Linked DNA regions of Anolis sagrei. The protein of the gene in region 4 interacts with the protein of the main gene of each other region in a pairwise test. Links are inferred from orthologs where the notes say so. Each region holds a gene or a part of one and is shown on either strand. Other genes may lie near its edges.

Region 1 (8,025 bases), on a different chromosome or scaffold from region 4:
ATGGAATAGATGACTTTAAAGCTGCCCTGGAAATTGGTGGCTGAACTGAGATTTGAACCACATGCCCACCCACAAAAATGGCTCACTGGTGACCTTAGGTCTCATTTGCAGCAAGAGAAAATCAGTGTCTACACCAGGAATACGAATATGTGGCCCTCCAGATGTTGTAGGGATGCCAATCCTACTATTATGCCCCAACTACCTAGTCAATGGTGATAGATGATGGGAGTGCAGCAGTTCAGCAACACCTGGAGAGCCACAAGTTGCATATCTTCTCTGCATCTTCCCTGTACTAAAGGGTTGGATGGCTCCTGGCCCTCCAGATGTTGTCAGAATGTAAGTCCTAATTATCTTAGGCAGTACAGCAACGGACAAAGATTATGGGAATTCAAGTCCAACAACATCTGGAAGACCACCATTTGGCCACTCTTACTCTTGTCAAAATTCTATCCACTAATCTTCAGGACAGCCTCCTAGCACAGAATGCAGTGTGGAATGGGTAGACTTAAAGATGTCAGCTCACAGGGAGAAGATGTGAATATCATTTCACACTGTTCCCAAACCAGTACCACTCAGAAGACTTGGTAATATGTAGAAAGCAAAACTAAAGAAATCATCATCTCAGAAGTTTAAAAAATTGATGGACCAACACAATCAGCTGTTGAAAATGAACTGCAAGACTACTCCCCTCCGATATAAAGATCTACTAAGCTGCATTTCTTGGCATCATATTTAGAACAGCAGGAATTATGTATTCACATTACCACAACCCCTTCCTGTGGAGAGTTATCTCCACCCAGCCACAGGCAAGTGTCATTTCCACAGGTCCAAAAATAGGGAGTGGGAGCCTCAAAAAGCTGGGTATCAAGTGACAGTCCAGTCATTGCCAAGTACCCTCTCATTACATCATGGGTCCAATGACGTTAGGCTATCTATCCAGCCAGGGCCTTTCTTTTCCTCTCAGGCACAAGGTACCTTGTAAAAGGTACAAAGGGAACCTCAAAGGTTTGGGGGAGGAAGGACAGGGGTAATGGATATGCCAACCCAGGAATGATCTGGAAAGGAAGCGATGATATAACAAAGAAATCACAACTGCTTAATATCCTTCAGAGTGAGAATGAGAAGGCCTCCCTGTCAAGAGGCTTTGAAAGGCTGATACTCACCCTGGAGATGGAGAGTGGCATGTTGAAGTCCTTGCCACCCTGCAACCTGAAGCCCCATGGTGCTGGTCCATCCAGCACCACCTTGTATGAGTCTATATCAGACATTTCTGTGAGAAAGGAGAAAGGAACAGTCACTTATATACAATTGAGGACTAGATAACATGAAGAAGAGGTGCTTGACAAACAGGACTGTGGAAATGGAGCTCGTCCTCCAAAGTTTGCCATTTATGTCACATCATGAACCATGAACCAAAGTGCTCCCCTCCATCCTCTCCATGCTGTTTCCCTCATTAGTTCTTCCTCTTTTTGACCTACAGTGAAGTTTTCCCTTCCCTTGTCTGCAGAGCAGGGCCTGACAACTATGGTCCTCATGAGTTTTTGGCCTTTCAATCCAAAACAGATCCAGCCAGCATAGCTTATTGTGAACGATTATGGGAGCTGCAGTCCAAACATCGCTGGAATGCCACAGCTTCTCTGCCCTTCTTTAAGCTTCCATCACAGTCCTAGCAAAACAAGATAGCAAAAGACAACAGACAGAAAGCAAAACTACCACACAAAAATACAGAGGAATAGTGACACAAAGGGCCAGGAAAAGAATGGAAATAATTCCTGTTTTCCACCCATTCTCAAAACACTGAGCAAAAAGGTTTCTCTTCTATTTTTACCAAAACCACATTCCTGAAGGACTTCCAACTTTAGCCCTTGAAGGGCTCATCTCAGCAATATTAAATGCTGGCTTCCTAATAGAAACAACAAGAGTCTCAACTAAGAGCCCCTATGCCTAAGGATCACATGTATATTTTGGATAAATTTGCATGACCTTTGGATGGGTTTATTTTAAACCTCGGCCACTTTTGCTTGAGTCAATAAAAGCATCTGGATTAATTATGAAAATAGGTTTTGTCATATGCCTAAGCACTAGATTTCCCAGGGTCAGTCATCATAAATAGCAAACCTGGGCCCCTTCCACACAGCTGAATAAAATCCCATGTTTCTGCTTTGAACTGGAATATATGGCAGTGTGGACTCAGATAACCCAGTTCAAATCAGATATTGTGGGATTTTCTGCCTTGATATTCTGGGTGTGGAAGGGCCACAGCTCTCACTGCCAATGTTTGAAGCAGAGCCAGTTCAAAATGGCTGCTTCCCAAGAGCAAAACCAATTGAATTCCCTGAGCCAAAGAAAGAAAAACAAACACGGTTGTGTGAATGAGACCCACGAAGAGCAGAGGTTGTCAGGAACCAAATATATAAGATAAGACCCCCACTGCAATAAAGTGAAACTCTCCACATGGACACGAGAACAGACAAAAACCATTTTAGTAGACTCCAGTCACACAGCAAACTGAGGAGCTTCCACACAGGGAATATAAACATTCAAGAATGAAGGACCCTACATTGGGATGGGAAGACAAAAGGTGCACTTACACTGTAGAAACAATGCAGTTTGAGACCACTTGAATTGCCATGTCTCAATGCTATGAAATTCTAGTGAGGCACCAGCACCCTTTGGGCAGAGAAGGCTAAAGTCCTTGTAAAATTACAACTCCTATATTTCCACTGAAATTAAATTAGTATCAAACTGGATACATTTGACAGTGTAGAGGTACCCATTGAAACTGCTCTGTTCTCATAGTTGTATTTTAACACAGCTACTTTTAATTAAGTAAAATCATAAAGGCTGAATCCTTAATCTACTCCACCTAATCATTCTGGGAACAGAAACTCTCCACCAGGCATTGCTACCACTTTGCTACTTTTGGGATAAGCGAGCTGAAACAACCCTATGTCACAACAAGCAGACAAGAAGATTGCCTCTGGACATCAGCTACTCCCTCTGCCTTCCTTCACTCTGTCTAGGCAATCTTGCCTATATAAGGCATGCAAAATGACAGTCATAGTCCACTGGTTGCTCATCAAGACTGGGAGAGATGCAAATTAGTCTTGGAAACGTCAAATACTTCATGACTGGTTCTAACAGAGGAGTTAGGACAAATCAGAAAGGATCAGGAAAGAAAATCCACATATGTACACACATACCAGAAACATTTTGTTCTTTTGGGCTGGGCCCTAGGACATCCATCTCCTCTAGGACAAGAGAAGACTACAAAGTGCCAAGGTCTTCAGAGCTTCTTGTATCAGACCAACTGGTAGGGGAGACGTAGCATTTGCCCCTTCTTACTGTAGTGTAACAGTGTGTACCAGCCCTCCCTGGAAAGCTGAATTGCTTCAGTCTGAAGGCTAACAGCAGCAGTACCGGCAAGAGCTTAATACCATCTCTCCACAGGGACGGCAGAGGAATGTGCTCTGCTAAGGAAGAGGCAAGGAGCTTTGATTTCTCCAGCTTCTTGGTGGGGCTGAGTCGGCAAAACATGCCTGGACGGGGTCTTATGCCACAAGCTGCAGAAAGAATGCCTTGAGCCTCCACACTAGTAGCAAAAATGTATAAGCAACTTAGAGGCCCTTTCCCTGGACCGAAGTTACTATGACTTCCAACTATGACTTTCTCAGTCAAGCAGCACCAGAATGAACACCTGTGGCACTGTGGTGAGGCACATTTCTCAGGTGATGCTTTGGAGCCCTTGTGGCTTTGTTAAGAATGGGTCAATGTCGTTCCTCAGCTGGCAGCTACTTCACTGGAAAGTAAACTGAGTTTGGAACAAAGCACGGCGCTTATGTGCTGAAAATAAACAGAAACCAGGCTAAGCTCAGGAGACTAGTGGTAATCAGAGAGAGGCCTTCCCTTTGTCAGTACAACCCGCTTAACTCAAGCAGATGGAAACAAACCAGAAAATTAGGACTAAACTTCTTGTTGCTCGGTAACAAGCTTGAAGTTACTGATAAGCATTTCCAGGAAGTACCTTAATAAACATGAACAACGTATGTTGTAGTTATGTTCAAAGCTTTGCGTTGTCACCTTTTTGGGTTTCAACTCCTAAAATATCTCAACCAAGTGACCATGTTGGCTGGGGAGCCCTAGAACTTGCAGTTTTAAAAATTAACTTTCTCAAGCTCTTAACCTGTAACATAAAGAACAGCAAACAGTCTTTTGCTTCAGAAAATTGCATTGGATAGACCACATGATCTCTAGTTTCTGCTACAAACCATATGCCATCTGCTTGCCCACAGAAAATCATACTAAAAAAGGGTTTTGCAAGACCAGTCACTCTAGTTGCAAAGGTGTAGTAACGGTGAGGCCATGGACCATAGTTTGGTTATTCTGGACCACTGGTGGTCCACGGACCACAGGTTGGGAACCACTGGTAAAACCTTTCATGAACTATGGCTCATTTAATCAGATGCATGGGGAATTATACATTATACACACACTTATGATGGAAGAAGAATGTGTAAACACAATGTTTGGAGCAACCTCCCCTAAAGTGGTGCTCTCCAAATGTATAAGATTGTAAACTCCAACAGCTTCAACCACACAGGTCTATGCTGGATAAGGATGATGGGAGATGTAGGTCAACACTGGGTTAGAAATAGGAAAAGAACACAGGAAAAGTAAAAACTGAGACGATGATGTTTAAAATCACTATGGTGCTGTCTGCATAGTAGTTATACTTGTAGACATTTGCAACAGGATGTACTAAGTGAAACAGAAGCAAAAAAAGAGGGGGGGGGGGTTACCAGCTGTTAGGATTTCTGGGAGTTGAAGGTCAAAACATCTGGGGACCCACAGGTTGAGAACCATTGGTCTAGCCAGCATAGCCAACCAGCAATGATTTAGAGAAGTGGTTCTCAACATGTTGGTCTCCAGATGTTTTGGCCTTCAACGCCCAGAAATCCTAACAGCTGGAAAACTGGCTGGGATTTCTGGGAGTTGCAGGCCCAAACACCTGGGGACCCACAGGTTGAGAACCTCTTGAGAGTCCAAAAGAGCCAGTGTAGGAGTCACTAAATAGACTATTTTCTGCATTTTACATCAAGAGAGCAAATTCTACTTAAGAGGCCACCCTATTCTGATCTGTGATAGCTAGCAAATAACAAGAGATCTCCCATCTTGTCCTTGGGACAATAGGAAGATGACAGAGGAACCCATGGACAATGGCCAGGCTTCATTACTCCCATTTTTACCCTCGTCTCCTTAAGATGACAAAGTTTTGGTTGTTTTTTTTTTTAATTTTGTGGATTTAGCTGGCAGGATGAACTAGATGAGCAATAAATAACCCAGCCCAAGAAGAAAAGGATGCACTCTCCACTTATCTCCATATCCCTCAGAAATGCCTTTTACGTCATCTCTTCTACCAAAAAGAAGAACTAACCACGTAATTGTAAAGCCAAGCTACATGGTGAAATAGTCAAGTAGTTAAAAAACGAACAACAGCCTTCTGTTGCCTAAACTGCCTCTTCACATCACAGGAGCTGTGATGGCAAAATGGGTTAAACCAGTGCTTCTCAACCTGTGGGTCCCCAGGTCTTTTGGCCTGCAACTCCCAGAAATCCCAGCCAGTTTACCAGCTGTTAGGATTTCTGGGAGTTGAAGGTCAAAACATCCGGGGAATCACAGGTTGAGAACCATTGGGTTAAACCCTTGTGCCGGCTGAACTGTTGACCTGAAGGTTGGAGGTTTGAAGATGGGTGAGCTCCCATCTGTCAGCTCCACCTTCCCATACGGGGATATAAGAGGACCCTCCCACAGGATGGTAAAACATCAGGGAATCCCCTGTGCAACGTCCTTGCAGATAGCCAGTTCTCTCACTCCAGAAGCTACTTGAAGTTTCTCATGACCATGAAGTAAGTGGGGAATCATATGCCCAAGATAAGCAGAGCAAAATGTTTTTTCCCGCTTCCATTAATAACCACACAAGATCTACAGACAAAAATAAGGCTGGAGGCTAGTGGGAAACTCCCAACATTTCTTCTCCTCACATATATGCTGGGTACATCACCAGCCATAAAGAGAGTTAGAGTCAGACATGTCTACTAAGCAACGGGTTGGGAAAGACTTCCTTATGTGGGTTTACAAGACCCTCTAACAAGCACGGGCAAATTTGGGCCCTCCAGGTGTTTTTTGGAGGTGTTTTGGAGTTGAGGTCCAAAACACCTGGAGGGCCAAACTTTGCCTGTGCGTGCTCTACAAGTACAGGAATTCATTTGAATTCCTTTGGGTATAGTTCCTGGCACTCTGTATATGCTCATTTCTCATTATATACAATGGCATAGTAAAATTGTGTCCCTAATATAAATCAAGGTTTGCTTGATTGTAATAAGTAGATGGTTGAATCCATGAATGTAGGGTCCATGGATATGGATGGCCAACTGTGCTGACAGTCATCAATCCTATGCCTCTAGGAACTTGTAAGGAGGGTGCAAAAATCAACATGACTTTAGTATTTTCCCCAATATGGGACGTTTCACTCTGCTTAAACACAGAGGCTTCTTTCCCCACATCTCGGCCATCTCACCACAAGAGGATGTGTCTTAAAGGCACAGGACAGCAACTCCCTTGGAAGCCACACTAGGCATGGGCAAACTTCGGCCCTCGAGGTTTTGGACTCCAACTCCCACAATTCCTAACAGCCTACCGGCTGTTAGGAATTGTGGGAGTTGGAGTCCAAAACACCTCGAGGGCCGAAGTTTGCCCATGCTTGGCTGATAAGGGGACTCTCTTGGTGCCCCTTGGAAGAGGTTCCCCCATTCTTCGCGCCCTCTTCGCTAAAAGGGGTCTTTCCAGAAATGGGGAACTTACCTGCAGGAGCCTAAGGACGCCCCGCTCCTCCGTAAAAGGAGGCGCAACTGGACTCGACGCCGAATTGCCTCCGCCTCGCCGAGAGAGAGCACGCCAGCGCGCCTTATATACCTCCCGGCCGCTCCCTCCCTCCCTCTCTCTCTCTCTTCAGTACAAGCCCCCTCCCTCCATTGCCCGCATTCAACAAGCCCGCCGCACGCCCAGAGCGCATGCGCACCGCTTGACGAGCCTGTCCGTGTCCATCCCAGCGGCGCCCCCCGACGTCCCTCCCCGGAGGTGCGCGCTTTTGGAAATATGGGAAGGGGGCGTGACGTCAGCACGCTGCCGTCGCCAGGCAACGAGCAAAGCCCTCCCCCCCACTCACACATACACACCCGCATACCGAATCAGGAAAGGAAATGGGACTCCCTCTGACTGAAGGCCCTTCCACATAGCCCTCTATCCCTGGATATTAAGGCAGAAAATCCTACATTCTCTGAGCGTGGACTCAGATAACCCAGTTCAAAGCAGATATTGTGGGATTTTCTGCCTTGATATTCTGGGATATAGGCATCACTTTAACCTCCCAACCCTGCTACACACCTGCGAGACGTGGACTGTATACAGACGTCACATGCAACTCCTGGAACAATTCCATCAGCGCTGCAGCTGGAAAATCCTGCAAATTTCTTGGGAAGACAGGCAGACAACCGTCAGCGTTCTGGAAAAAGCAAAGACCACCATCATTGAAGCAATGGTCCTCCGCCATCAACTCCGCTGGACCAGCCACGTTGTCCGGATGCCCGACCGCTGTCTCCCAAAGCAGTTGCTCTACTCCGAACTCAAGAACGGAAAATGGAACATTGGAGGACAGGAAAAGAGAGTTAAAGATGGGCTCAAAGCCAACCTTAAAAACTCTGGCATAGGCACTGAGAACTGGGAAGCCCTGGCCCTTGAACGCTCCAGCTGGAGGTCAGCTGTGACCAGCAGTGCTGTAGTATTTGAAGAGGCACAAATGGAGGACGAAAGAGAGAAACGTGTCAAGAGGAAGGCGCATCAAGCCAACCCCAACAGAGACCGCCTTCCACCTGGAAACCAATACCCTCACTGTGGGAGAAGATGCAGATCAAGAATAGGGCTCCACAGTCACCTACGGACCCACCAGTACACTGATCCTGGAAGACT
Region 2 (7,700 bases), on a different chromosome or scaffold from region 4:
ATGGATACCCAGGATGCCGATGCCTGAAATGAAAGCACACAGACTTGAAACTTCAGAGACTGGATCTCACCACCGTACTACATCCTCCATACAGTCCAGATTTAGCACCGTCTGACTTCCATCTGTTCCTGATAATGAAAGAAGATCTGCGGGGACATCATTATGCTTCTGATGAAGATGTTGAGAGAACCGTGAGACGCTGGTTGCGGAAACAGAGTGTTGACTTTTTCCGTGAAGGCTTCAGAAAACTTATTTACTGTTGGCAGAAATGTATCCAGTTGTCCGGTGATTATGTGGAAAAGTGAATAGTGGTTAAAGAGCACATTTTAAGGATTATTTTTGTGTTTGATTTATTAAAATATTCCCATCCAAACCCAAGTAACGAAGGTGGAGGCATTACTTTTCATTCAACCCTCGTATAATGTTGTATGTAATGTGTTTTTGTATGTTGTCGGCATCGAATTGCTGCCGTTGTAAGCCACCCTGATTCCCCATTTGGGGGTTGAGAAGGACGGGGTAGAAATGTTGGAAATAAATAAAAATAAATAATATATCTCTTGTCTCTCACCTGAGGCGTGAGGAAGCGTCCATTTTCTCTCAGGAGGCGGCTCCGGGCCAGAATCTGCCTGACGGACAAAGAGCATTCGACTCAGTTGTTGCCCCGACAAGATCTGTGAGCACCAAGTGGTGACGCCAGTCGTGGCATCAAAGCCACCCGCCAGGCCCAGCAGTCAAAGTTGGGATATCGCTCACATCCTCCACATTCCTAGGCTCAAGCAACTGTTTTCAGAGTGGTATTTCTAGGGGTGACAACTGCAACCCCAAAATAAGGGCCCCATTTCCATACGGCCCCCAAGCCATTGCAAGGGATTTTTTGATCAACTGCTATTTTGTATTAATAGAATCAAAAAGCTGGAAGAGACCTCATGGGCCATCCAGAAGCAGGAATATTGCATTCAAATCACCCCTGACAGATGGCCATCCAGCCTCTGCTTAAAAGCTTCCAAAGAAGGAGCCTCCACCACACTCCTGGGCAGAGAGTTCCACTGCTGAACGGCTCTCACAGTCAGGAAGTTCTTCCTCATGTTCAGTATTATGTGGATTCATTTAGGATTAAAAACATTTTGGATGATCCTGGGGACAGGATATTGCCTGTCTAACTTTGAATACCCTAATTTAGGATGTAACAAAATATCTCTATCAGCAGTCCGCAAGTTATGAACAAGATAGGTTCTGGATTGCTGTGAGTTTTCCGGGCTGTATGGCCATGTTCCAGAAGCATTCTCTCCTGATGTTTCGCCCACATCTACGGCAGGCATCCTCAGAGGTTGTGAGGTCTGTTGGGAACGAGCCAAGTGAGGTTTATATAGGTTGGAACCTTATATAGATAGCTTCTATACGGTGCTTCTTAAATTGAATTTGAATGTAAATTGGAACAGGCCATTTTTTAAAGTGCAAGGAGACACCTTTTCCCCATGATAACTCTTTCAAGAGTGAATTTCCCTTCCAAGGGGGAGATTTATCTCCCTTCCTGTTGTCCAGGACGCCTTCTACATTGCCATACAAGACATATTATATTTGGGGTGGATCCATGCTCTAGAGCGGGCATGGGCGGGTTTGGGCCCTCCAGGTGTTTTGGACTTCAACTCCCACAATTCCTAACACAATTAAGTGGCTGAGGGGGAAAAGGAAGGGTCAGCCGGCCTGACTCCCTCTACGAAGGTTGAGAAGATCGGGATATAAAAGTTTTAAATAAATAAATCAATAAGGGGCCTGAGGGTGTTAGGAATTGTGGGACTTGTAGTCCAAAACAAACACCTGGGGGACCCAGGTTTGCCCATGCCTGCTCTGGTGTGATGTGATGAGGCCCTTTAAATTGTTGTTCAATTCTTTTAATTATTATTGTTTGGACGTGGAATAATACCAGATTATGTAAACCGCCCTGAGTCCCCTTTGGGGTGAGAAGGGTATAAATAAATAAATATTATCAAAGCAGATAATTCACATTAACTTCTTTGGATTATATGAGTCTACACAGCTCAAATAAAATAATCTGGATTTTATATGGCAGTGAAGATAGGGCCTCAGATCCCTTCTACACTGCCTGATTATCTGCTTCATTTATTTACTGTATTTGTATACCACCCCTCTCAGCCTTCCGGCGACTCGAGGCAGTTTACAAGGCAAAATTCAATACCATAGAAACACAAATATAATATAAAAAAGCATTAACATCCATAAAATCGTAACAATAACAATAAAATATAAATCAATAAATCCTCATTAAAAAGAAACATTGTCCAGTCTCATTGCGTAGTTGTTCCAATTCCTATGTCCGTTACTCAATATTTGCAAATGCTTGCTCGAATAGCCATGTCTTGAGTTTTTTCCAAAATGTTAGGAGTGAAGAAGTCGATCTGATCTCCCTTGGGAGGACGTTCCATAGCTGAGGGGCCACCACTGAGAAGGCCCTGTCTCTCGTCCCCGCCAGATGTACTTGTGACGAAGGCGGGACCTAGAGCAGGGCCTCCCCAGATGATTTTAAAGTCCTCTATGGTACATAATCCTCGATGGATGTTTTGAACTGGAGTATATGGCAGTGTAGACTCAAATAATACAGTTCAAAGCAGATCATGTGGAGTATCAGTTTTGATAATCTGGATTAAATGGCATAAAGGGCCTGAGGCTTTACTGAACAATGCTTGTGGCACACTTGAGATTCCGGCTAAAGCTACATGCAATGAATGTAACGTGGGCTATACAAACTTTATACATTTGCCATAGGAATCTGTGCATCTCCTCAATTATATATGAATTGTCCAGGGTTTAAAAACCACACTAGGAAAACTAGAGAGGTGTACTGCACCCTTTAATGGGTGTCACAGCAGCTGTTGCTTTAAATAAATAAATAAATAAATAAATAATAGGATTGTTGTAGGTTTTTTCGGGCTATATGGCCATGTTCTAGAGGCATTCTCTCCTGACATTTCGCCTGCATCTATGGCAAGCATCCTCAGAGGTAGTGAGGTCTGTTGGAACTAGGACAATGGGTTTATATATCTGTGGAATGACCAGGGTGGGACAAAGAACTCTTGTCTGTTGGAGCTAGGTGTGAATGTTTCAACTGACCACCTTGATTAGCATTTGATTAGCACTCTTTAGGAGGAGTTTGAAAACGTGGCTGTTCCAGTGTGCATTCCCAGAATAGGAAACCCCAAAGCACTTTGTCCCAAATGTACTTTACTAGAAATCTAGGATTGTCTGCACGCCCTATCTTTCTCCAAAAATACTTATCAATTTCACCTGGTCATGGCCAGTTTTTAAATTTTTTAATCTATTACAACTGGCCCTGACACTGATTTTAATTGCGTCATGTTGTCATTGTCAATGCCTATTGCTTGAGTTATTTATTGATGTATTGTTTGTTGTTGTTTATTGATGTATTGGGTCTCAGCCTCTTGTACGCCGCACCGAGTCCTTTGGGAGATGGTAGCCGGTTATAAATAAAGATTTATTATTATTATTATTATTGGTGGCCTGGCAGTGCCTGGGGCAATCTTTTGTCGAGAGGTGATTAGATGTCCTTGATTGTTTCCTCTCTGTTGTTGTGCTGTTATAATTTTAGAGGTTTTTTTAAATACTGGTAGCCAGGTTTTGTTCATTTTCATGGTTTCCTCCTTTCTGTTGAAATTGTCCACATGCTTGTGGATTTCAATGGCTTCTCAACAAAAGATTCCCCCAGACTCAGCCAGGCCTTCAAATGCTAATGTGGATTTCAGTGGCTTCTCTGTGTAGTCTGACATGGTGGTTGTGAGAGTGGGCCAGCATTTCTGTGTTCTCAAATAGTATGCTGTGCCCAGCATATAATAATAATAATAATAATAATAATAATAATAATAATAGCCAGAGGCTTTTGAGGCAGAGCGGGATTCGAACCCTAGATATCAGAGTCATCTCCCAACGCCTAACCCGCTGCGCCAAACATGCACCTAGAGCACGTTACGGCATTCCATTTATAATATGGGCGTGGCTTCCCGCCAGCCTTTCCCCCGCCTCCGCTCACGTGTCCTGCCGCTGCTCGCGCCAGCCCAGCTCGCGCTCGCCGCGCCACAGCCCGGCCACGCGCAGGCGCAGAATCCCGACGGCGAGAGCGATCCAGGCGACGGGCAGGAGAACCCAGAAGCGGATCGAGCCGTCTAGGCGCAGCTCCGGCGCCGCCATTGGAAGGGAGACAGGGAGGGAACGACCACGGCGCCTCGAGGGTCTCGACCCAACTGACTTGAGAGCTAGTTTATAAAAAGAAAAACTTTTGCAAGCCGGCCTTATTAGGGAACTTGCCCGGAAGTGACGTTAGGGGCTCCGCGGGGAACTTCCGGTGCTGTGTCCCTGAGTTCTGAAGGACAGCTGTTTCCATGGCAACAACAGGCCTGGGCAAAGTTGGGCCCTCTGCGTGTTTTGGACTTCAACTCCCACCATTCCTAACAGCCTCAGGCCCTTTCCCTTTCCCCCTCAGCCGCTGAGGCTGTTAGGAATGGTGGGAGTTGAAGTCCAAAATACCAGGAGGAAAGGTCCAAGTTGGCCACAATGTAACCCCGATGTAACTACTGGAAGTGGTCTAAATCCTGGCCTAGGGAGAAGCGAGGGAGCAGCTGCACCCCCCGAGAAAGACCCAAGTTCTCCTTTCCACTCATTTCCCTCTTGCGACTTCCATCAGGATCCGGAAGTGTACGTCGCGAAGAATGATCCCACCGCTCTTTACCTTCCAGCCACTTTGAGATGTTTTTCGCGCTCATGACCCCGGAAGCGATTGCTTGGGAGGATAGTTAAATAGACCTCGCTCGTGTTGGAGTTCGGGATGAAATAAACCAAGGCGTGCAGTTGGTGAGGTCGCTTTTTGTCAATAAGACTAATTTTGCAGAAGGGCCAAAGTAGATTAGTAATTTCCCTCTATGCTGTTTGTTCATTTGTTCTCGTGAGTTAAGAGCCTATCTCTTTTTAGATTAGAGGATATTGTGCAAGGCAAAGGGCATAATGTTTGTTATCAGTGATACATGTATTTAAATCTGAGCATGCAAGTTTGTCTTGTTCTATGACTGTGATGGCACGCCAGGGATTGAAGGAAAACTATGTGTGTGCCTGGCTATTTCCCCAGCCGCTATCGGCTTACCTTTTATATATTTCTTTAAAATAAGACTCCAGAAACAAGATTAAAATTAACCAAATAAGTTTACTGGAACAAACAGAGAGAATTCCTGTCAGAGCCCTAAAAAGGTGAATCAAAACAAGGTATTACACAGATGCAGTTTTATTATTGAAATGATACAGAGTTAGAATGGCAAAGAACAGATATAAGGTATAAACTCTGAGGTAAAAAACTCGGCCCCCTCGCTGTTGCCGTTTCGGAGGAAGGTGAAGACCTGGCTATTCGAACAAGCGTTTGACTAAACAGTGAAATTGAACATAGGAATACGGAACAATGAATAATGAGAGTGGATTCTGATTTTATTGTTGAGGCGTTATGGTTGTTATATTGTTGTTAATTGTTGATGTTATAATCTATTTTAATTGCATTATACTGTTTGGTGATATTTTGCATTGTTGTGTAAACCGCTTTGAGTCGCCTAAGGGCTGAGAAAAGCGGTATAGAAATAAAGTAAATAAATAAATAAATACAAGGATATGGTAACTATTGCATCTGTCAAGTAGGAAAATTAGGTACCACCTTGTGTGGGGAGGCTAAATTAACTAATTTATGAGGCCATAAAAAACACTCCAGCAAAGCATGCGGGGAATGCGGAAGTACTTCATCAGTGTCGCAGATGGACGATGAAAGCGACAGCTCCCCTGGCGGCCAGAAAAAGTTAAATAGCCTCTGTGTATGTCTGTATATGTTGTGTGTCAAATTGGCATTGAATGTTTGCCATATATGTGTAGACTGTAATCCACCCAGAGTCCCCTGCGGGGTGAGAAGGGTGGAATAGAAATACTGTAAATAAATAAATAAACTATGAGTTAAGTACAGAGTACGGTCTTTAAGGCATGTACAACTATGATCCTTTGCATGTACAGCTATAATCTCTGATCTTTAAGTTCAAGGCTATAATCTCTGTGGCAAGTACATGCTTAAAATGACTGTTTTAGATTGCCAAGACAGTCCAGACACTTTCTGGCCTAACAATTCTAAAGCTATGCCAAAAAAGAATGGAGGGAAAATCTTTCCACCAAGCTCTGAGCCAGCAGGGCTGAACCATCAGAGCTAGGCCTCTAGGGCAGGGGTCCACAAACTTTTTAAACGGAGGGCCAGGTCACAGTCCCTCAAACTTGGAGGGCCAGATTATAATTTGAAAAAAAAAAAACATGAATTCTTATGCACACTGCACAAATCTTATTTGTACTGCAAAAATCACTTAAAATAATACAATAATTAAAATGAAGAACAATTTTGGCTGATGAGATAGGACTGTTGTTGTTGTTGTTGTTGTTGTTGTGTGCTTTCAAGTAATTTCAGACTTAGGTTGACCCTGAGCGAGGGCCGGGTAAATGACCTTGGAGGGCTTTATCTGGCCCCCGGGCCTTAGTTTGAGGACCCCTGCTCTAGGGCGATCCTAAGCTCCATTCTTAAAACTCAGCCAAATGGAACAGCCCACCCTAAAGAAAGCAAACAAGGAAATGAACAGGAGTGAAAACTAGTCTGAGACTTCACAGTGACCATGGCTGCCTTTTCATGTTTGGACATTTATTTTCCCATGTGCGGAAGCCACATCATCCTAATTTCTCTTTCATTCTGCAGGCTGTTGTGCTAGTTCCACAGTGCATCTCATGGCCATGCTGGGCAAACGAGAGGTGCAGGAGAAAGTGCTCCAATATGAGGCTTTTGTCAGTGATATCCTTCAGAGGGATCTCCAGTGAGTGATTGTATGCCCCTCCTTCGTGCCCACTTTCTCACTCATGTATAGGCCTAGTCTATGGTGTTTTCTAGATTTGTTTTGTTTCAATTTATTGCTTTTTTTTCTCCCCAGGAAGGTGCTAGAACAGCGAGATGAAGTCTATGAAAAGATTGCTCAATACTTGCAGCTCAAGAACATGATCGAACGTTTACAGGTAACTCAAAACTCTTTTAAACTGTAGAGCAGGGGTCCTCAAACTAAGGCTCGGAGCCGGATACAGCCCTCTAAGATCATTTACCCGGCCCTCGTTCAGAGTCAACCTAAGTCTGAAACGACCTGAAAGCACACAACAACAACAATCCTATCTTATCAGCCAAAAGTAGGTCCACACTTCCCATTGAAATGCTAATAAATTTATATTTGTTAAAATGGTTCTTCATTTTAATTATTGTATTGTTTTTACGTGTTTTTGCACTACAAATAAGATATGTGCAATGTTTTTTCCAAATTCTAATCCGGCCCTCCAGCAGTTTGAGGGACTATGACCTGGCCCTCTCTTTAAAACGTTTGAGGACCCCTGCTGTAGAGTGTAAGATAAAGAATTTGGCATAATTTGAAGCAGTGAGATTCAAGGGTTTAATATAGCAGGTTGAAATTCTTGGTACCATACGTGTTCTACTTGGATTTTGGGGGATTTTGTAATACTTGCATATATATAACGAGATCTTGGAGACAGGATTCAAGTTGAAACATGACATCAATTTATGTTTATGTGTATACTAAACACATACCCAGTAGATAATTTTATATACA
Region 3 (7,691 bases), on a different chromosome or scaffold from region 4:
CTCGATTCTAGTCTCCTTCAATGCAAATGGTGTTCTTGGAGGCATAAGAAAAGCTGCCGTAAATGGTGTTTAACAGCTGAAAGACAGAATTATATGCAATCACAGCTGCTAGTTACAGAATTGCTACTTTAAGACTGCAGCTGTTTGATTATATCCATTTTTAACTTATTAGCCAATCCTCATTTTCAGAGCACTGCTAAGAAACTGTCATTCTCTTCCAAAGAGGGAAATTACGGCTTAACCCTAATGAACCACAGTCTGTAATAGAGTATGCGCTGTCAGCATTCTTTCATATTTTGCTGAACCAAATGCCTTCACAAGATGCCAGTTATAGCTGCAAAAAGAAGTTCAACTTCCAGTGACTGCCTTCTTTGGTTCTCCAAATGTTTCAGAGTGCTAGCAGGACAACGCTGTGCATTTTTGCTCAGAAGTACAATAGAGTCTCGCTTATCCAACCTCCACTCATCCAGCATTCTGTATTATCCAACGCAGTCGGCCTCCCACAGCTGTTTCAATACATTGCAATGTTTTGGTGCTAAATTCGTACATACAGTAATTACTACATAATGTTACCATGTACTGAACTGCTTTTTCTGTCAATTTGTTGTAAAATATGATGTTTTGGTGCTCAGTTTGTAAAATGATAACGTAATTTGATGTTTAATAGGCTTTTCCTTAATCTCTCCTGATTATCCAATATTTTCACATATCCAGTGTTCTGCTGGCCTGTTTATGTTGGATAAGCAAGACTTTACTGTATGTACCACCAGAGGTAGCATGAGCATTGCACTACAACTCTGGAAACCAGGGTTCAAATCCTCACTTGGCCATATAAACCCACTGGGTGACCTTTGGAAAGTTACACACTGGATGCTTGCCATAGATGCAGGTGAAATTTCAGGAGAGAATGCTTCTAGAACATGGCCATATAGCCCAAAAAACCTATAACAACCCAGTGATTCTAGCCATGAAAGCCTTCTTCAATACAAAGTGTATTATTATTACTTGTGGAGTTCCTCCTGGTTTGGTTTTGTCCCCTGTGCTGTTTAACATCATCTACATGAAAGAGCTGGGAGATGTTATCCAAAGTTTTGGATTTCAGTGTCACCAGTGTGTTGAATATACCAACTCACCCTCTCTTTTTCCCCTGCACGTTCCAAGGTTCTGAACAAATGTCTGTTGTCATTAATGGACTAGATAAGAGCCAACCAATTAGCAACAGTAAGAACTGACCATGGAACAACAGACTGGTTCAAGATTGGGAAAGGCGTACGGCAGGGTTGTATACTCTCACCCAACCTATTCAACTTGTATGCAGAACACATCATGCAATGTGCAGGGCTTGATGAATGCAAGGCTAGGGTAAAATTGCTGGAAGAAACATTAGCAACATTAGATATGCAGATGATACCACTTTGATGGCTGAAAGCAAGGAGGAGCTGAGGAGCCTTCTAATCAAAGTAAAAGAAGAAAGTGCAAAAGCTGGGTTGCAGTTAAACATAAAAAAACCAAGATTCTGGCAACTGGACTGATTGATAACTGGCAAATAGAGGGAGAAAATGTGGGGCCAGTGACAGACTTTGTATTTTCAGGTGCAAAGATTACTGCACGTGCAGACTGCAGCCAGGAAATCAGAAGACGCTTACTTCTTGGGAGGAGAGCAATGACCAGTCTCGATAAAATAGTGAAGAGTAGGGACATCACACTGACAACGAAGATCTGCATAGTTAAACCAATGGTATTCCCCATAGTAACCTACAGATGTGAGAGCTGGACCATAGGAAAGGCTGAGCAAAGGAAGATAGATGCTTTTGAGCTGTGGTGTTGGAGGAAAGTTCTGAGAGTGCCTTGGACTGCGAGAAGATCCAACCAGTCCATCCTCCAGGAAATAAAGCCCAGCTGCTCATTGGAGGGAAGGATAGTAGAGGCCAAGATGAAGTACTTTGGCCATATCATGAGAAGAAAGGAAAGCTTAGAGAAGACAATGATGCTGGGGAAAATGGAAGGAAAAAGGAAGAGGGGCCAACCAAGGGCAAGATGGATGGTATCCTTGAAGTGACTGGCTTGACTCTGAAGGAGCTGGGAGTGGCCATGGCCAACAGGGAGCTCTAGCATGGGCTGGTCCATGAGGTCACGAAGAGTTGGAAGCAACTGAACGAATAAACAACAACAAAAAGAGCTGGCAAGTTGAAACTTAATCCATGGAAGACAGAGGTGCTCCTGGTCAGGTGAAAGGCACAATTAAAAATGCTGGACATGACCCACAAAGCCTTATAACTCTTAGGTTCAGTTGATTTGAAAGACTGGATCTCCCTATAACAGTGTTTCTCAACCTTCCTAATGCTGCGACCCCTTAACATAGTTCCTCATGTTATGGTGACCCCCAAACATAAAATTATTTTATTACTACTGCATAACTGTAATTTTGCTACTGTTATGAATTGTAATGTAAATATTACATTACATGCAGGATGTATTTTTATTCACTGGACCAAATTTGGCACAAATACATGATACACCCAAATTTGAATACTGGTGGAGTTGGGGAGGGGTTTGATTTTGTCGCCTGGGAGTTGTAGTTGCTGGGATTTATAGTTCACCTACAATCAAAGAACTTTCTGAACTCCATCAATGATGGAATTGAACCAAACTTGGCACACAGAACTCCCATGACCAACAGAAAATGCTGGAAGAGTTTGGTGGGCACAGAGGGCACTGTGGACTCAAACAATGATAGATCTGGACCAAACTTGACATGATTACTCAATATGCCCAAATGTAAACACTGGTGGAGTATGGAGAAAATAGGCCTTGGCATTTCAGAGTTGTAGTCAGGCCTGTAGCTGGGGGGGGGGGGGGGGGTTGTGCTCTTTGTTTCAGCGTGACCCTACCCCCCCCCCCAAAAAAAAAACGTTCAAACCCCCCCCCCCCCCGAAATTTTCAACCCTCCCCAAAAAAAATTTCTGGCTACGGCCCTGGTTGTAGTTGCTGGGATTTATAGTTCACTTACAATCAAAGAGCCCCCTGAACCCCACCAATGATAGAATTGGGCCAAACTTCCCACACACACAACCACCATGACCAACAGAAAATACTGGAGTGATTTGGTTGGAATTGACAGTGATTTAGGGGAGATGTATTTCACCTAACTCCGGAGAGCACTGTGTTCCTAAGACCATCAGATATACAGTATATGTTTTTGAATGGTCTTTTGCAATCCTCTGACACCCCGCTTTGCAACTTCCCCAGGGGTCCCGACCCCCATGTTGAGAAACATTGCCCTATATAAAACTGATAGCTTTACTTCTCATTGGCACCACAGATCTATTTGGTGAGGACACAGGAAGGAGCCTTTTCAGGGATGAACTAACTCCCTTCCATGGGGGGCAGGCTGGCCCCTTCCCTGCTCTCCTTTTGCTGGAAACCTTTTTTTCTCAAACAAGCTGTTAATATGTAAATAGGCGACTGGAAAGCAAAACACAGGGTTCAGCCACACAGTAAACGTTTGCTTGCTGTGCGTTTTCTGGGCTGTTCAAGTAGCATTCTCTCCTGACCTTTCGCCTGCATCTGTGGCTGGCATCTTCAGAGGTCTGTTGGCAGTGAGACAAGAGGAGTGTATGCATACCTGTGGAATGTCCAGGGTGGGAGAAATAGCCCTTTCTCTGTTTATACTTTCGTTAAACAGGCACTCCACTTGCCTCATTGCCAACAGAACCACTGAAAATGCTAGCCACAGATGCGAGCGAAATGTCAGGAGAGAATGCTACTGGAACATGGCCATACAGCTCGGAAAACTCACAGAAACCCAGTGATTCCGGCCATGAAAGCCTTAGATACTACACTAAATGTAGTTTGATACCACTTTAACTGTGATAGCTCAATACAACGGAGTCCTGGGAGTTGTAGTTTTGTAAGGTTTCTAGCTTTCTCTGCCACAGAGTGCTGGTTCTTCACCAAACTACAACTCCCAGGATTCCATGGCAGGGAGTCATGGCGGTAATGTGGTGTCAAACCGCATTTATTCTACAATATAGATGCGCTTATAGTCTTCAGGAGTTGTTTTGCATGTCAAAACGAGCGCCTCAAAATTGAAGTGGCAGACGCATGCGCATTGCGATCCTACCATTAGAACAGAAGCAGTTAGAAGCATCGATTAAGAGCCAGAAGTTAGAGGGCGTTGTTAATTCGCAACCTCCCCTTTCTCTATGATCCCGCTCTCCCTTTGAAGCCACTGCCGGAGAAAGTGAGGATTCGCCTCTGACGTATGGAGCGCAATCAGCCAATGGGGGCGGTGCTACAAGCCAGGGGGCGGAGCTTGCGGGTCGGCGACTAGATTGAGCTGGAATGGGCAAGAGAAGAAGGAGTAACTTTGGAAGGGCGGGGAAGTCCTGCCAGCGAGAGGACAACTCTTCTCCTGCGTTGCTTGGAAAAGGAGACTCAAGGTGAACTGGTTTGTTTGTCTGTAATATAGATTATTAGTACAGTGTGTGTGCTACTCCTGTATTCATTTTAATTTAATTTAAATTAATTTATTCTTAATTCTGGAAACTACCCATCTTGCTGCAATTCACTGCTGTTTTTCTACTTTTGTGGGATATCAGGAAGGTTATGGGAGGCTGTGGGTCGTCTAGGGGCCTCCAGCGCGGAGGAAAGGCCAGGAGGGCAAGTCCGGGCATGTCTTTCCTCGCCTTGGGCCGCAGGCGTGCATCTTCTACACTGCAGGATGAGCGCAGTTTGACACCACTTCCACTGCCATGGCTCAGTGCGATGGCATCCCGGGGGATGTCGTTTTCCAAGGCCCTTGGCCTTCTCTGCCAAAGAGGGCTGGTGCTTCACCAAACTACAGCTCTCAGGATTCCATGGCAGTTAAAGTGGTGTCAAACTGCATTGACTCTACAGTGTAGACCAGGCATCCTCCAACTGCGGCCCTCCAGCTGTTTGGGCCTTCAACTCCCAGAATTCCTGACAATTGAACAAACTCGTTAGGGCTTCTGGGAGTTGGAGGCCCAAACAGCTGGAGGGCCGCAGTTGGAGGATGCCTTGTATAGACGCACTCAGACTTTTGAGTTGGGCACCCACAGGAGCAGAATCTCCAGACCCAAAAATTGGAATCCAGTTCAACAAGTGGAAGGAGTCCTGACAGCAAATCCTATAAATAGGTTATGTAAAGGTAAAGGTTTAGTCCAGTCGTGTCCGACTCTTTTGCTTATCCTTTATTACCATTAGTTTAACTTACTCACAACGTGCCCTTCAAAAGCAATGCACATGGGATGGTGCTTCTGCTGGGCAAAGTAAGGTGGACTGATTTTCATAGCTTCAAGACTATTAAAAACAAAAATACCCAATGTCTTCCTGTTAATCACATTTTCCAGTAGCATCGTCTAAGCTGTTCCAGGTTTCAAACTTACATAATTCCATATTTGTCTATTGCCCTGCATTTCCAAAAATCTATTCAAAGAGCCAAGTTTTTACTTTTTTCCAGAAGGTCAAGAGGGAGGGGGCCGATTTAATATCCCTAGGGAGGGAGTGTCATAGCCAAGGGGCCACCGCTGAGAAGGCCCTGTCTCTTGTCCCCGCCAGACATGCCTATGAATAAGGTGGGATCGAAAGCAGAGCTTCCCCAGACGATCTTAAAGATGATCTTAGAAGATTGCCTTGGTAGTTAAAGTAAGAAAGGTAATAAAAGTAGTATTATAGCTCCACAGTTGCGTAGATTATGATGTGAGCACTCTTCACAGTCCTTGAAATTTTGAAGCCATATAACCCATTTGTCACAGAGTGACCCTTTGATAGAAAACTCTTGGAGGCTGCATTACAAATAAAAGTTTAGGACGCCATTGTAATACTTAACATGGAAGCCATTTCTGAGCACGTGCTAGAATTGTTTGAGGCAAGGCCATTAGAATGGTTACTTCTGTCCTTCGAGCGTATCTACCCTGTAGAGTTAATGCAGTTCACTATTTTAAGTGTCATAGCTCAATGTAATGAAATCGTGGGGGTTGAAGTTTGATGCAGAGAAGTGTCATCAAACTTAACACCCGTGATTTCATTACATTGAGCTATTTGGCAGAGAAGACTAAAGGCCTTGTAAAACTACAGCTCTCTTGGTTTCATAGCATTGGACCATCACAATTAAAATAGAGTCAAAATGCATCAATTCTACAGCACTCATGTACTTTCTAGCCATCCACAAAAGCTGCACCAACTGAATGTTGGTGCTATTTAAAAGCTGTTGCCAGTTCACCAATGAACTTTTATCAGTTGTCTTTTCATTCCTATCTTTTATATTATCTTGGTCACTGTGGCTTTGGAAAGCAAGTCTGGAAACCCAATAAAACAGGTATTATGACCTTTGGGTGACATCTGTACAGTAAGAACAGAAATCTTTTTCTTTCCTCCTGTTGAGTTGCAGCTCCCAGCATTCCTGAGCACTGATTAGGGATATTGGGAGATGCTCTCTAACAATATCTGGGGTCCATATGATTACCATTCTAGCTCTACAGTATTGATGCTCTGCTGCATATATGTTGGACCATGGCCCCAACACCCTCAAACAAGAGCCATACTGGCTGGGGATAATGGGGATTGTAGCCTGGCATATCTGGAGGGAATAGGTTTGCAGAATGGTTTCTGTAGTCTCTTGTCAGTTGCCTTGAAACTTGATTGTGGGATTGAATATGATTCTCATGCGGCTTGACATGTACATGCTTTGCTGTAGGCAGTTATTCTAAACCAAGTCTTGTATTTCAGATGATCGAAACATTTGCCACAAGTGAAGCTCAAGAACTGCTGCATCAGCTGAATGTGTTACTGGAACAGGAGTTAAGATGTCAGCCAAAGTTTTCTGGCCTAAGAATAATTGAATCTGCTCATGATAACGGACTTCGAATGACTGCGAGATTGAGAGACTTTGAAGTGAAGGATCTCCTTAGTTTAACTCAGTTCTTTGGCTTTGGTACAGAGACATTTTCTCTTGCTGTGAATTTCTTGGACAGGTTTTTATCAAAAATGAAGGTAGGTCTTCAGATTACTAAGTTATAAGCCAATTTATCGCCGCCTCTGTATAAGGCTTCTGAAATATATGGGTTTCTAAGACTTCAGCTGCCAGGGAGACTTGCATTCAATGCAGTGTTGATATATCTTGCGTGCAGTTGTGCTGTGTAAATCAATCCTATTAACTGGAATCAAGGCTTGGCTTTTTCAAAACTATGTCCTCTGTCTCTTTCAAGAAGTGTTGGATAAATTCCCCATGAAGCACTAGTAAATTTATTTATTTATTTATTTATTTATTTATTTATTTATAGTATTTATATTCCACTCTTCTCACCCCGCAGGGGACTCAGGGCAGATTATAATGTACATATACATTGCAAACATTCAGTGCCATAGACACACAACACATATAGATAGACAGTAAGAGGCTATTTAACATTCCAACTTTTCCTGGCCACCAGGGGAGCTGTCGCTTCACCGTCACCATCCATCTGCGACACTGGTGAAGTATTTCCTTGTTTCCCGCATGCTTGTTGGAGATTAAATTAGTTAAATTAGCCTCCCCACATTTAAGTGGTACCTAAATTTTCCTACTTGACAGATGCAACTGTCTTTCGGGTTGCAAAGGTCGACAACAAGCTACACAATTGGTCAGAAGCTCACTCCGACCCGGGCTGGCTTCGAACTCATGACCTTTT
Region 4 (8,399 bases):
AACAAATGGGGGGGGGGGGTGGTCAAAAATACACATTTGTACGGCAGTGAATATAATCATATAATCATTGCATCCAGGTTTTTTAAAGTTATAAATTCTCACTTGGCTATAAAGTTCATTAAGTGACTGGAGCTGAAGGGGCTGCCTTACATTTGTCAGAAGAAAGGTAGGACAAAGTCATAAGGAGAAAATTTTTCTGATCAATACAATTATATTAACTCACATCTTATAGGATGCCACATGTGATAGATAAATATTTTTAATCCATTGTGATTAGTACATGTCTCACCATTTGTTATGATGTTCATTTGAACCCACTGGTGTCATAAATCACATTGAGCTCCTACTCAGAGAAGTTACATAACATGTATAAAGAGTTGGCATGGATTTTTCAAATTTCAATTAAATTGCCTCTTAATATATTAACGTTTAATATTTTCATTCACAAACTGTTTAATTGAGTTATTTTTACTCTTCTGTTAAAACTTTTATTCTGATTTTTGTGTTGTTTGAACTGTATTGCTTCTAAAGATATCATTGACCACCTTGAGTCCCATTATCAGGAGAAAAGCAGGCTATAATCAGTAGAATGGAGGGCCTTCTCAGGCCCCCTTTACACTGCCATATAAAATCCAGATTATCTACTTTGAACTGGATTATATGGCAGTGTAGACTCATATAAACCAGTTCAAAGCAGATAATCTTAGGGCCCTTCTACATTGCCATATAATCTAGATTATCAAAGCAGATAATAAACATGATCTGCTTTGAACTGGATTATATGAGTCGACACTGCCATGAGGCAGGGCATAGTGGACAAGCATACATATGTGGAGTTGTCTGTTCTGCTGCACAGTCACACAATTTATTTATTTCCGTCACTTTTACCCCACCTTTCTCACCCCCGGGGGGGGGGGGGGGGACTCAGGGCGGCTTACAGAGGAAGGCACAATTCGATGCCTTTATCACATATACATACATATATAAACAAATTAAACAATTACAAATTAAAAATTAAAATCATCCATACACAATAATACAATAACACAGCAGTAGGTTAATCCTGAGCTCAGCGTTTGAAGTTTCATAAGTCCATTCCATCTCGACAAGTTCCAGCTCGTCATCAGGTTTTTCTTTAGCTGCCTGGGTGTCCAAATGCCCGGTCCCATATCCAGGTTTTCAATTTTTTCCTAAATGAAAGAAGGGACGTTGCCGATCTAATTTCCCCGGGGAGGGAGTTCCACAGGTGGGGGGACACCACCGAGAAGGCCCTGCTCCTCGTCCCGGCCAACCTCACTTGTGATAAAGGCGGGGTCGAGAGCAGGGCCTCCCCAGGAGATCTTAGGTTCCGAGGTGGGACGTAGAGGGAGATCCGTTCGGACAGATACACTGGGCCGGAACCGTATAGGGTTTTATAGGTCAAAACCAGCACTTTGAATTGTGCTCGGAATTGGATCGGCAGCCAGTGGAGCTGACACAGCAGGGGGGTGGTGTGCTCCCTGTATGTTGCTCCGGTGAGCAGTCTGGCTGCCTCCCGCTGGACCAGTTGGAGTTTCCGAGCAGTCTTCAAAGGCAGCCCCACGTAGAGTGCGTTGCAGTAATCCAGTCGGGATGTAACAAGAGCGTGGACCACCGTGGCCAATCCCCCACAAGGTGGGGGATTCTTTTACGTAGTGCCATTTTGCCAGGTTATCTTTTGATCTGCCCACTCTGCTTTTGAGTCTGTTCAGGGACTTCCAAGTTGCCTATTCTTGGTTTGCCTCTGTAGGAAGACCTTCATGGGGAGCCATCCAATTGGGATTTCCTGGTTTAGTAGCCCAGAGGGATTCTCTTGCTGTTGGAACATTAAAAGGAATAGTGGTTCTCATGAAGCTTTTCCTTGATTTGAGTCTGCTGGGAGGAGGCTGAAAACCATGCAGTGGGTGGCTTTCATAGTGTTCAACCTTATTTATCTCACAGTTAGCAACAACTTCCCGTTGCACATTGGAGGGGGGGGGGGGGGTAATGCCAGCTAGTTTGTAGAGTTTATCAACAGGTGTAGGTTTAAGTCATCCTGTGATTATTCTGCATGTTTCATTCAATGCTATGTTCACCTGCTTTGCATGGGCAGACTTGTGCCAAACAGGGCAGGCATACTCGGAAGTTGATTAAGATAAGGCCAGGGCTGATGTTCTTATTAATTTTGGGTCTGCGCCCCATGTGCTGCCAGTAAGTTTCCACATGATGTTATTGTGTGCAGCTACTTTGTGCTTGGTGTTCATTCAATGTTTCCTATATGTTAGTGTCCAATCGAAGGTGACACCAAGATATTGTGGATGGAAACAATGTTCAAGCTCTTGACCTTCTCAGGTAACTTTCAATTTACTTTTGGCTTCATTGTTGTGTAGGTTTGAACCCGTAAACTACCCCCTTGGCTATAGGCTTGTATGGACACCCTCAACAAAGACATCAGTGAGAGCTGAGGATGCCCAAAACAAAGCCCTGTGGAAACAACAATCACAATGCTAATCTCTCCATTGGGGAAATAGCTCAGAAAGAAGAAGTGTAGGCTCTCAGGGACTCAAACTACATTACTTACTTAGGCGATCCCTTGTAGCTCGAGGATGAGGGTCTGCCAGATGTAGTGTCTTGGCAGTGAGTTCGTAGGTGGCTGTGGAGCCCTATTCTTGATCCACATGTTCTCCCGCAGTAATTACATCAGTTTCCAGATGGAAGGTGGTCCAGGTCAGGGTTGGCTTGATGTGCCTTCCCCTTGGTATGTTTCTCCCTCCATTCGTGTCTCTTCAAATTCTGCAGCACTACTGGTCACAGCTGACCTCCAGTTAGAGCGCTCAAGGGCCAGGGCTTCCCAGTTTTCGGTGTCTATGCCACAGTTTTTAAGGTTGGCTTTATGCCCATCTTTAAACCTCTTGAGGTTGGCTTTAAGCCCATCTTAGCAGCCTTTAAAAAGATCGAAAGACCTGGATTTTCTGATGTGCCTTTGGAGAACGACCATATATTCCAATCCTGTTGTTTCACCTATACTGTTTACCTCATATTGCACATTCCCCAACTTATTGAAAGTCTAATTCCACTGTTCCATCCCCTACGAGCTCCTCCCCCACAATTGTACCTTTTTTATTGCTATCTCATTCAGAGTTTTACCATTTTATGTCATGCATTTGGCCCGTCCACTGTGTTTGATTTTCCATTATGTTATTTTGTACTGTTTATTTTACTTGATGGGTTTATTTATTTTATTATGATGTTATTTTGTTGTTTATATTTTATGTTGCTGTAATGTATCACTGGGCTTGGCCTCATGTAAGCTGCTCTGAGTCCCCTTTGGGGAGATGGTGGCAGGGTATAAATAAAGTTTATTATTATTATTATTACTAGCCGTCCCCTGCCACGCGTTGCTGTGGCCCAGTCTGGTGATCTGGAAAATAAAGTAATGAGAAAGTGTTGGTTTCTAATATATGTAATATCTTGATGCTTGTGGGTAAACAGTATTTTTTGTTGTTTCTTTGTCAGTGTTGATGTGGAGAGTGTGTGGTCTGCCTACTCTGGAACATGCAACATATCCTTGTCCTTCTTTAAGGGTCCCTTTCAAATCTAGGAAACTATATATCTCTCTGTGTGTGAATCATATCTATAGCTGGATGGCTCTTTGTCAGGCAGGCATGTAGCCGGGGGGGGGGGGGGGGGTTGGGGGGGCTTCAGCCCCCCCCCCCCCAAATTCTCAGGGTGGTCCGCGAGAAGGCCTTACTGGTACATTATTTAAACTGTTATGTTATTCATATCATGATCTGATCACCATGTTCAATATATCTCATATACATGGGGGTATTGGGGTAATGATATAAAAGGTTTGCTAGGGTAGACCCTCTTTCACTCAGACTCAGCACCCCCCCCCCCCCCCGAATCAAACTCAGCTCCCCCCGAAACAAAATCCTGGCTACGGGCCTGTTGTCAGGAGGGCTTTGATTACGTTTTCTTACCCTGGTGAAGGGAGTTGGACCAGATGGTCTTAAGTATTTTCTGTTAGTCACGGGGGTTCTGTGTGGGAAATTTGCCCCAATTCTGTCTTTTGTGGGAATCAGAATACTCTTTGATTGTAGGTAAACTATAAATCCCAGTAACTACAAATCCCAAATGTCAACGTCTGTTTCCCCCAAACTCCACCTGTGTTCATATTTGGGCATATGGAATATTCGTGCCAAATTTGGTCCAGATCCGTCATTGTGTGAGTCCACAGTACTCTCTGGATGTAGGTGAACTACAACTCCCAAACACAAGGTCAATGCCCACCAAACCATTCCAGTGTGTTCTGTTAGTCATGGAAGTCCTGTATGCCATGTTTGGTTCAATTCCATCATTGGTGGAGTTCAGAATGCTCTTTGATTGTAGGTGAACTATAAATCCCAGTAACTACAAATCCCAAATGTCAAGGTCTATTTTCCCCAAACTCCATCTGTGTTCATATTTGGGCATATGGAATATTTGTGCCAAGTTTGGTCCAGATCCATCATTGTTTGAGTCCACAGTGCTCTCTAGGTGAACTAGAACTCCCAAACTCAAGGTTAATGCCCACCAAACCCTTGTAGTGTTTTCTATTGGTAATGGGAGTCCTGTATGCCATGTTTGGTTGAATTCCATCATTGGTGGAGTTCACAATCCTCTTTGATTGTAGGTGAACTATAAATCCCAGCAACTACAACTCCCAAATGACAAAATCAATTTTTTGAGTGATGGTCACTCCTTGAGGTAGTAGGTGTCTTGTGTCCAAATTTGGTGGCAATTCATCCAGTGGTTTTTGAGTTCTGTTAATCCCACAAACGAACATTACATTTTTATTTATATAGATTATTATTATTATTTATTTATTTATTTATTTATTTTCCTGTCTACCAACATTCCATTTGCCATTCTTGAGTTTGGAGTAGAGTAACTGCTTTGGGAGACGGTGATGGCCCATTTTGGACAATGGGCCAGTTCAGCATGCCCCTTCTGCCTGGCTGGCCCGAATCCCTAGCCGACTTCCTTGCACTTCCTCTTGATGGCCGCTGCGAGGCGCTGGAGAGGCCTGGCCGGCGGCAGCCCGGATGTAGCAGCAGCCGCAGCAGCAGCAGCAAGAGCAGGAGCTTGGAGAAGGAGAAGGTGGTGGACCGGGATCCAGTGCCGCGCGCTGCCTGCCTGCCAGCCAGCCAGCCAAGGCACGCGCACCGCAGGCAGCAGGAGACATGGCGCTGGGAGCGATGTAAAGGATGACAAGGAGGAGCAGGCAAAGGCGAGGCATGCAGCAGCAGCAGCAGCACCAGTTCGCTTGAGCCACCTGCCAGCAGCCCTCGGGGTAGGTAAGCACAGCAGGCAGGGGCTGGGCGTGGAGCTGGGTCTGGGGAGGGGGCTCCCTTTCTCCATGCAAGGTGGCTGGGAGCCTTTTGTGACCCATTGCTGCCTCCCTCTGCTTTTGCCTGGGAGAGAAAAGAGAGCGAGGCTGCCCGGGTGGGTGTGGAAGGGTGCCATGGCTGGTGTTGCGCAAGGAGACAGGCAAGGGGGAGAGGAGGATGCGGGGAAAGAGCCACCCCCCTGGGCTCTGCTCCTCTTTCTCTCCGCTCCTGGCATTGCCCACGCTGGCAAGACCAGGCTCCGCACAAAGGCGCATCGTGCAGAAGGGCAGCCCGGATGGGACGGAGGCAGGAGGCGTCTCCACGCTCCACACATGGAGGGATGGGCCATTGTGGGCACACATGCTCGCCCAGGATGGCATCAAGGAGGTGCTGTGGCTGAGACACACAAGAGAGGGCGGAGGGCAGCGGGCAGCCAGTGGGGCACTCTGTGGCAGTCTCCAGGACCAACACATGGCATAAACACATTGGGAAATGGGAGATATATGTCTGTATATATGGCCCCTTCCACCCAGCTGTATACAATCCACATTGAACTGGATTATATGGCAGTGTGGACTCCGGGCCCTACCACACAATCCTATATCCCAGAATAATAAGGCAGAAGATCCCACATTATCTGAGTGTGGATTAAGGCCTCTTCCACACAGCTGTATACAATCCACATTGAACTGGATTATCTGAATGTGGACTAAGGCCTCTTCTGCACAGCTGTATACAATCCACATTGAATTGGATTATATGGCAGTGTGGACTCAGGGGGATATTATACAGCCCTATATCCCAGAATACCAAGGCAGAAGATCCCACATTATATGAGTGTGGACTATGACCGCTTCCACACAGCTGTATACAAGCCACATTGAACTGGATTATATGGCAGTGTGGACTCAGGGCCCTACCACACAGTCCTATAACCCAGAATATCAAGGCAGAAGATCCCACATTATCTGAGAGTGGACTAAGGCCCCTTCCACACAGCCGTATACAATCCACATTGAACTGGATTATCTGAGTGTGGACTAAGGCCTCTTCTGCATAGCTGTATACAATCCACGCTGAACTGGATTATATGGCAGTGTGAACTAAGGGCCCTTCCACAAAGCCATATAACTCAGAATATCAAGGCAGAAGATCCCACATTATCTGAGTGCAGACTAAGGCCCCTTCCACCTAGCTGTATACAATCCACGTTGAACTGGATTATATGGCAGTGTGGACTCCGGGCCCTACCACATAGTCCTATATTCCAGAATATCAAGGCAGAAGATCCCACATTATCTGAGTTCAGACTAAGGCCCCTTCCACCCAGCTGTATACAATCCACCTTGAACTGCTTTATATGGCAGTGTGGACTGAGGGCCCTACCACACAGTCCTGTGTCCCAGAATATCAAGGCAGAAGATCCCACATTATCTGTGTAAGAACTAAGGCCCCTTCCTCACAGCTGTATACAATCCACATTGAACTGGATTGTATGGCGGTGTGGACTGAGGGCCCTTCCACAAAGCCATATAACCCAGAATATCAAGGCAGAAGATCCCACATTATCTGAGAGTGGACTAAGGCCCCTTCCACACAGCTGTATACAATCCACATTGAACTGGATTATCTGAGTGTGGACTAAGGGCCCTTCCACACAGCTGTATACAATCCACATTGAACTGGATTATATGGCAGTGTGAGGACCCCCCAATGGTGCAGTAGGTTAAACCTCTGTGCCGGCAGGACTGAAGATTGACAGGTTGCAGGTTCGAATCCGAGGAGAGCATGGATGAGCTCCCTCTGTCAGCTCCAGCTTCCTATGTGGGACATGAGAGAAGGATGGTAAAACATCAAAACATCTGGGCGTCCCCTGGGCAACGTCCTTGCAGACAGCAAATTCTCTCACACCAGAAGCAGCTTGCAGTTTCTCAAGTTGCTCCTGACACGACCAAAAATTAAAAAATTATGGCAGTGTGTACTCAGGGCCCTACCACACAGTCCTATATCCTAGAATATCAAGGCAGAAGATCCCACATTATCTGAGTGTTGACTAAGGCCCCTTCCATACAGCTGTATACAATCCATGTTGAACTGGATTATATGGCAGTGTGGACTCAGACCTACCACACAGTCCTATATCCCAGAATATCAAGGCAGAAGATCCCACATTATCTGAGTGTGGACTAAGGACTCTTCCACACAGCTGTATACAATTCACATCGAACTGGATTGTATGGCGGTGTGGACTCAGGGCCTTCCACAAAGCCATATGACCCAGAATATCAAGGCAGAAAACCCCACATTATCTGCTTTGAACTGGAATATATGGCCATGTGGACTCAGGGCCCTACCACACAGCCCTATATCCCAGAATATCAAGGCAGAAAATCCCACGATATCTGCCTTGAACTGGGTTATATGAGTCTACACTCAGATAATGTGGGATCTTCTGCCTTGATATTCTGGGATATAGGGCTGTGTGGAAGGGCCCTATGAGAACCCAGTTCAAAGTAGATGGTGTGGGATTTTATTAAGTTGAGTGGAAGGGCCCTCAGGTAATCCAGTTCAAAGCAGGTAGAGAGCTTGAGGCCCCTTCCACACAGCTGAATAAAATCCCACATTATCTGCTTAGAATTCATAGCAGTGTGGACTCAGATAATTCAGTTCAACTCCGATATTGTGGGATTTTCTACCTTGATATTCTGGTTTATATGGCTGTGTGGAAGGGCCCTGAGTCCACACTGCCATATAACCCAGTTCAAAGCAGATAATGTGAAATTTTATACAGCTGTGTGGAAGGGGCCTGAGATACCAAAGAGAAAGCCAACAAGGGAATGCCATTTTCCTCAACACGTGCCCAATTTTCAAATATTTTGATGGAGATATCTTGGTACCATAGACTCTTGCAACAACAAGAAATAATTCGAAGGAATGATGATAACTGCCTTGAGTTCCCATGGGTGAGAAAGACAGGGTAAAAATGAAGTAAATAAATAAATACTACATGCACAAAAGTATTTTTAGAAT

The links.
Region 1: the proteins of PAK5 (region 4) and PDLIM7 interact in a two-hybrid assay, tested with the Homo sapiens proteins (2 studies listed by BioGRID and IntAct). The two-hybrid records come from large-scale screens. The link is inferred for Anolis sagrei from reciprocal best matches to the Homo sapiens genes PAK5 and PDLIM7.
Region 2: the proteins of PAK5 (region 4) and UXT interact in binary tests that used the Homo sapiens proteins (3 or more experiments, as listed by UniProt). The two-hybrid records come from large-scale screens. The link is inferred for Anolis sagrei from reciprocal best matches to the Homo sapiens genes PAK5 and UXT.
Region 3: the proteins of PAK5 (region 4) and CCNG1 interact in binary tests that used the Homo sapiens proteins (3 or more experiments, as listed by UniProt). The two-hybrid records come from large-scale screens. The link is inferred for Anolis sagrei from reciprocal best matches to the Homo sapiens genes PAK5 and CCNG1.

Annotation. Positions count from the first base shown.
Region 1 is NC_090022.1:76,897,814-76,905,838, forward strand, and holds the start of PDLIM7 (PDZ and LIM domain protein 7), read right to left. Parts: upstream 3,306-8,025; 5' UTR 3,247-3,305; coding exon 3,204-3,246; intron 1,271-3,203; coding exon 1,164-1,270; intron 1-1,163. UniProt on the Homo sapiens protein: May function as a scaffold on which the coordinated assembly of proteins can occur. May play a role as an adapter that, via its PDZ domain, localizes LIM-binding proteins to actin filaments of both skeletal muscle and nonmuscle tissues.
Region 2 is NC_090022.1:193,097,438-193,105,137, reverse strand, and holds the start of UXT (protein UXT), read left to right. Parts: upstream 1-4,517; 5' UTR 4,518-4,881; intron 4,882-6,790; 5' UTR 6,791-6,819; coding exon 6,820-6,905; intron 6,906-7,019; coding exon 7,020-7,101; intron 7,102-7,700. Other genes in the region: ER membrane protein complex subunit 3-like, read right to left, coding at 569-626, 4,064-4,221. UniProt on the Homo sapiens protein: Involved in gene transcription regulation. Acts in concert with the corepressor URI1 to regulate androgen receptor AR-mediated transcription. Together with URI1, associates with chromatin to the NKX3-1 promoter region.
Region 3 is NC_090022.1:109,470,493-109,478,183, reverse strand, and holds the start of CCNG1 (cyclin-G1), read left to right. Parts: upstream 1-4,302; 5' UTR 4,303-4,442; intron 4,443-6,750; coding exon 6,751-7,014; intron 7,015-7,691. UniProt on the Homo sapiens protein: May play a role in growth regulation. Is associated with G2/M phase arrest in response to DNA damage. May be an intermediate by which p53 mediates its role as an inhibitor of cellular proliferation.
Region 4 is NC_090021.1:145,308,183-145,316,581, forward strand, and holds the start of PAK5 (serine/threonine-protein kinase PAK 5), read left to right. Parts: upstream 1-5,102; 5' UTR 5,103-5,332; exon of another isoform or gene 5,333-5,336; intron 5,337-8,399.